Linked DNA regions of Yarrowia lipolytica. Each later gene encodes a partner of the first gene's protein in a complex. Links are inferred from orthologs where the notes say so. Each region holds a gene or a part of one and is shown in the gene's direction. Other genes may lie near its edges.

Region 1 (3,387 bases):
ATTCCTTCCACTTCGTGTGGAGTCAAGGTTCATCCTTCATCCGTCACTGAGCAATGGAAGAAGCGGGGAAACGGAAGATAGCAATCATACCTTAACGGTGATGAGTCGTGTCTCATGGGAGCATTGTGGGTTATTTGGAACAAGACCTACAGTAATTACAAGCACTTGTACTGGACAATATGATAGTATCGTATCGTAGTGTGATCGTTATGGAAAGTATAAGAGATAGTCCTACAAGTAGTTAGCTTATCACGTGCATATTAACAGATTGTCGTCACACTGGCCAATGTTCTGCCACGATGGCACTTGACGACCACTGTTGTGTTTCTGTCACTCCACAGCACGTGTTGAGTCAATTGGGGTTGGGACCTGGAGGCTTGGTTTCGAATATGCGTGGATCCGTTGGGTCCGAGTTTATGCCATGGGTTTATGGCCATCAAAGATAGATGGGAGTCGGCATTGTCTGCAATCGTCGGAGGTAAGCATGACTCATGATGAGTCACGGTAGCGAGGTGGCAAATTGAGACCGTATCTCTTGATTCTACTCGTACTTGTAGCTTCCTGGTTGATGTCTACGATCACTTCTACTGCATCGTGGCTTCGCGGGATGGGGTAATCTGTCACCCACAGCGTACCCCAGTTTAGGACATGCAACCGTTAAAAGAGTACCAACGTAAAAACAAGTGCTTGTGTGAGTAATACGTGAATTGTCCTGCAAACAACATTTTGACAACTGTGACGTATGCAACTACCCACAAGAGAGTCTACACACACAATTGATTTCAGTCGGTCGTCAACAATCTACGTCGTATCGCCACTACTGTACACACTACTGTACCCCTTCCTTCCCTGTGGTGCCGCGGATTTCATTTTGAGATTAACCCTTGGTCTGCTTGCCAAGGTTGGGGACAGCAGCCAAAGAAGAGGACAGTGGCGAAAAAAGACGCCGCACCGCACGGTTGAAGATGGACTTCGAAGAGAGAATTGAAAAAAAAATGTAATGTACGCACAGGTCAGGCACCAAACAAGGCAGGACCAGCAGCAGGAGGAAGGCTTTGTACTGGCAGAGTGCAGGCACACTTGTCTCCGAAACAGCAGGCAGTCAAGTTCTAGAAACTACCCCTAATATTAGGTGCATTGTCACAGCTACCCCAGAAACCTGAATAATCAATAACCACGACGTCCGAATAACGTGCTCTGGAGATTGGTGTGAGTCTGTCGTCAGGTGCTGGACGTTGTGTGCACAGGGGTGAATGAGGATACATATGGGCGCGCAGGTATCGTAGAAAAGAACACACGTACGTATGACCAGTCAGACGCTCAATTCTCAATTCAGTAGGTCAATGGGGAAGAGACTGTAGAAGTACAGGTTATTAATCAGGATACATGCCATGCTTTTCGTCTTTTTAACCGATTGCTGTTTGTCCTCCTCCATCTCCTCTCCCGCACCTGTTTAGCTCTACCCTGCCTTTTAGCCAAATAAACTCCAATTGGGATACTTGTTCCAACAGACCACCCGCAGCTGCTTTAGATTTTTTCCACACACCCACCAGTCTGCACACAGACACATACCTCACCACACACCTAGTGCACTCAAATAATCATGAGCGAACCCATCAAGTCCAAGCGAATCGAGCAGCTGTCCAGCATTGCCCCCACCCCTCAGAACACCCCGGCCTCCAACGCCTCATCTTTCCTCCAGCGAGCCGCCAACCCTGGAGTGTCTACAATTGCTGAGGATGGTCAGGGGGAGGTCGACCTCGGAGCTCTGAGCCGAGACCCCGCTCTGCTGTCCCATCTTGCCGGTCGACTCAACCAGATGGCCGGTACTTCTTCGGGCTACGTCGATTCTCTGCCTCTGGCTGTGCGACGACGAATCGATGGTCTCAAGGCCCTGCACCAGCAGGCCTCCGTGGTGGAGGACGAGTTCCACAAGGAGATGCTGGAACTGGAGCGAAAGTTCCAGGCCAAGTTTGCCCCCATCTACGCCGAACGAGCCGCCGTCATTGGTGGCGAGAAGGAGGTATCTGAGGAGCAGGTTGAGGCCGGTAAGAAATACGAACAGGAGCGAATGGAGCGAATGTTTGGTGTCGACGGAGACGATGTTGAGGAGGATGAGGACGAGGAGGACGAGGATGCAAAGGACGAAGAAGAGGAGAAGGAGGGTGATGATAAGTCCGATGCCAAGGGTATTCCCTACTTCTGGCTCACCGCCATCCAGAACCTGCCCGGTGCCTCCGGTCTCATTTCCGAGCGAGATAGCGAGGCTCTCAAGTCGCTCATGAATGTGCGAATGGAGTATCTCGACGACAAGCCTGGCTTTGTGCTCATCTTTGACTTCGCCGAGAACGAGTTCTTCACCAACAAGCAGCTCAAGAAGTCGTATTTCTACCTCGACAAGGTGTCTGACACCGGTGAGCTCATGTACGACCACGCCGAGGGTGAAGAGATCGACTGGAAGTCGCCTGAGCAGAACCTGACCATGGAGATCACCAAGCGAAAGCAGCGAAACAAGCACACCAAGGCCACCCGAATCGTGGAGAAGGCCGTCCCCACTGAGTCTTTCTTCACCTTCTTCAGCCCGCCCAAGGCCCTGGATGAGGAGGAAGAGGACGAGGACGAGGAGGTTGACCATGAGGAGCGAGACAATGCTCTGCAGCTTGACTACCAGATTGGTGAGGAAATCAAGGAGCAGCTCATTCCCCGAGCCGTCGACTGGTTCACCGGATTTGCTCTGGAGATGGAGATGGAGCATGGTGACATGGGCGAGTTTGAGGATGAGGACGACGATGAGGATGAGGATGATGACGACGATGATGATGAGGACGACGAGGAGGGAGGCAAGAAGGAGGCCCAGGAGTGCAAACAATCTTAAGGAGTAACATACTAAATAAGACGCGTGGTTACACGCATGATATAGTGTTGATTATATGAAAATATTTTGAGGACGATACATGACTATGTACCGTATGGGCAATACAAGTAGCTCAGACAGTACGTACTGGTTGTAGCTCGAAGGCATAATTGTCCAAGTAGCTCGAAGGTAACATTTAACAGTTGCTACAGCGGGACCGGAGACCGCGAGTAGTATGGCGCTCTAACGACTGTACAGTATTTATTGAACGAAATGTAGCTGTAATATTATGCATTTGAGGAGTTCCCGGCTACGAGTACTGGTACAAGTAGCTACTTTTTGAACTTGTATAACGGTGCAGTAGCTACGATACTGTATTGTACACAATGGCACCAATTTCCCACATTGGCTTTGTAATAATGAAGGCCTTTTCAAATTGGTGGGGGCAAATGCAAGCGAATATAACTGCAACCAATGGCTTGGCTACGTGCTTTTTATTCAAGTGGGGATAGATAGCGGTGGTTTTCTTGTAT
Region 2 (3,495 bases), on another chromosome or scaffold:
AGGTTAACATGGAAAATATCCTGAATACCGTGAATAGTGGTTGAAGAAGAGACAAATGTTGGACAGCCTCCTATCCCACGACCCAAATTTACATGTTGTACTAGTTCCATTAGTCACACAATGACTCACTAAAACAGACAGTGGGTAGGGCCATTTAGGTTCACTCGTGAACACACAATAGTCAAGCTCCGAATTATGGCGAGGCCACCATTGAGGTAAAAAATTGCCTTTAATAAACGAGGTGTTATGACGTACGAGTACCTGTAAGAACAGATGAATTCAGATGACTTTTTGTTCTAGGATCTAAAGCAGCTTTCTTAGCCAAATGCCACACACTAATGTTCATGTAAGGTCCTTGGGGGTCCCCTTACACCGCAGTGTGCCACGAACGAGTGTGCTCGCTCCTTTATCAACACATGGTTGGGTTTCATCTTGATCTATAGGTCCGAGTTAAAAAAACGCGATCTATGTCACAGGCACAAATAAATGAAGCGATACAAGGTCATCTCTTATACTGTAGCGACAGTGAGCACGACCGCTCTCACAACATGCAGTGCAGCTCTAGACCACTAATGCAACTTGTACCTGCCACCGTTCCTCTACTGTAAGAATAACGCCGTACAGCATCTGTTAGCTCTGAATGTACTGTAGGGAGCGGGCTAGAGTTGGGGTCCTTTGAATGAGAGGGAGGAAGGAGAGTATATCTGCACAACTTGAGTGTCTCATACTATCTTAGGCGGATACGAGGTGACACATTTTACAGTATGCACGACTCTAAGGGCTGTTTTGACTCGTCGTGGAAGTATCAATGCATGGACCTGGGGTAACAACTAGAGCAACCAAGTCCGGCTATGAGCAACTACTGTACACAGAGAGAGGGACAATCTGCTATACCTGACCGCTATACCTGACCAAGTGCAGTAAGTATCGTACAGTATGTACAAGTATTGGCACTTACATGTCCCAATTTGCAACAGAACCCTTATCAGCTGCACACTTCAATGGCACCAAGCTTGACTACAATTATAATTGAAAACGTACGAACCGTGGTAGGTGTACCTGTAGTTCGCCCGACAAGTGGATGGATTCAGTCCAAAATAACAGCCAATCGGATATTACCGCTGGTGACACTCTCAGACACATGTCTATGATGGTCATTGTTAGCACCGAAAAATTCTTCACTCACAATTCAACAATAGCCACCTTCTATGATAAACCGTTTGACTATGGGGTTGTGTCAGGCAGGTTACAGGACACATTAGAGCAGCGAGACAGCCTCGTATTTCGTATTTTCGCGGACCCGACAAGACAGAAATAGCTGTTCGAAACACGTTAGATCTAATTTCTTTTCAAATTATAAGTACTCGTACGGCATTCATACCAATTCCATGCTGGGAACGCTCACTGCCGGCTCTAAAGTTTCCCAACCCAAGACACGTTGTTTTGGAACAGGACGCGTTGTATCCACGTGACGGCGGTTGCCTGGCAGCACGCGTTCAATGTAAATGTGGTTACGAATGCCTAACACGGCAGGTCGAGTGGGACGACGTAGGGTAATAATTCTCGAGAATACACCGCTACATATTTGTTGGTCACATTACAATCTGTCTAATTAGAAATTATGACGTGTAGTCGAATTGTTGATTTCCCCCCTATTTCTCGGCCGGGTAACCTACGCTAACCTCCACGTCTGCACCTCCTAGGATTCTCGCATCCTAATCACGACATTATACCTATCAATCATGGCGACCACAGCACAGGCTGCTATTCAGAGCATTGGCGTGGCCAATCTGCCAAACCAGCGGTGAGTATGGAGAAGTGTGAACCGGTTATGGGCTCAGAAACACGGATACACTGGTTATGAGCTATCACTCGTCCTACGTGGAGACATTGTATACACCACTAACACAGACACAAGATTGTGGCCAAGAGTGGAGCTACCTTCACCCTTATGGTGGCTGGCGAGTCTGGTCTCGGAAAGACCACCTTCGTTAACACCCTCTTCTCCACATCCATCAAGAGCTACACAGACAACAAGACGCGGTTCAAGCGACCCATCAAGAAGACGGTGGAGATCGACGTGACCAAGGCCGAGCTGGAGGAGCGAGGATTCCGAGTGCGACTCAACGTGATCGACACTCCCGGATTCGGTGACAATGTCAACAACCTAGACTCTTGGCAGCCCATTGTTGAATTTCTGGACGACCAGCATGAATCTTTCATGCGTCAGGAACAGCAACCAAACCGTGTCGGCAAGATTGACATGCGAGTCCACGCGTGTATCTACTTTATTCGACCCACTGGCCACGGACTCAAGCCCCTGGACATTGAGGCCATGAAGAAGCTGTCTTCTCGAGTGAACTTGATCCCCGTCATCGCCAAGGCTGACACACTGTCGCGCAAGGAGCTGGCTATCTTCAAGCAGCGAGTTCGAGACACCATCATCGCGCAAAACATTCGAATCTACCAGCCCTCAGTGGATGAGGAGGACCAGCGAGCTGCTGAGCACGCCAAGTCGCTTATTGACGCCATGCCCTACTCCATCATTGCCTCTGAGAAGGACGTGGAGACCCCTGATGGTCGAGTGGTCAAGGGCCGACAATACCTGTGGGGAGTTGCCGAGGTGGAGAACGAGGACCACTGTGACTTTGAGAAGTTGCGATACCTCCTGATCCGAACCCACATGCTGGACCTCACAGCCTCCACTGAGGAGCTGCACTACGAGTCGTACCGAACCCAACAGATGGAGACCAGAAAGTTTGGCGAGGCCCGGCCGCGAAAATTCGACAACCCTAAGTTCAAGGAGGAGGAGGACGCTCTTCGAAAGATGTTCACTGAGCAGGTAAAGCTGGAGGAGCAGCGATTCCGACAGTGGGAGCAAAATCTCATTGCCGAGCGAGATCGACTCAACAAGGACCTCGAGCAGACCCATGCTAGCATCAGAGCCCTGGAGCAGGAGGTCGAGCAGTTGACTATGAAGGCTGGTAAGCGATAAATCTGATTTTGTTATTTATGGTTCCTCTTGCTAATCTAGGATGTTGGTAATTTTGTAATGTATAATGGAGTGAACGTGGACGACGTTGAGCGTGACGAACGCGTAAGGAATCGACACGACTGTGCCACAGGTGAACGACTAACAATATCCGGGGATTATGGAACGCGTTTTAACAGCTCCCTTCGCTGACCCTGGCGTATCTTGATGCTGTGATGATGTATGTTAATGTATTACTAATCAGAAGGATGTATATTACGACCATATGTACTGTACCATACGAGAACAAGTGCAATACCATTGAGTCAGATCTGTACACGTTTCTCCATCTTCTGGTATGTATACGACTAGAAAATTGTGAAGGACGCAATGCTCAGTTGTGTGCCCTGGTCTAAGCTCGGTGAGCCAGACACAGGTTTGAAGACTTGGGCCCAATGTGCTCTTCGGGTTGTGGCCAGGAGGATAAGCATGGTCGGAGATACTTGAAAAACGTGAACGACTTT

What was found.
Region 2: YALI1_B19044g (region 1) and YALI1_D35768g share a complex: the UniProt entries of both Saccharomyces cerevisiae proteins name them as parts of the GIN4 complex. The link is inferred for Yarrowia lipolytica from reciprocal best matches to the Saccharomyces cerevisiae genes NAP1 and CDC12.

The regions. Positions count from the first base shown.
Region 1 is NC_090771.1:1,902,688-1,906,074, reverse strand, and holds YALI1_B19044g (uncharacterized protein), read left to right. Parts: upstream 1-1,603; coding exon 1,604-2,875; downstream 2,876-3,387. UniProt on the Saccharomyces cerevisiae protein: Acidic protein, which assembles histones into an octamer (in vitro). Involved in the regulation of the localization and the function of the septins during mitosis. Involved in the function of B-type cyclins.
Region 2 is NC_090773.1:3,575,173-3,578,667, reverse strand, and holds YALI1_D35768g (uncharacterized protein), read left to right. Parts: upstream 1-1,742; coding exon 1,743-1,804; intron 1,805-1,911; coding exon 1,912-2,995; downstream 2,996-3,495. Other genes in the region: YALI1_D35787g (uncharacterized protein), read right to left, coding at 1-10. UniProt on the Saccharomyces cerevisiae protein: Septins are GTPases involved in cytokinesis that assemble early in the cell cycle as a patch at the incipient bud site and form a ring approximate 15 minutes before bud emergence, which transforms into an hour-glass shaped collar of cortical filaments that spans both sides of the mother-bud neck.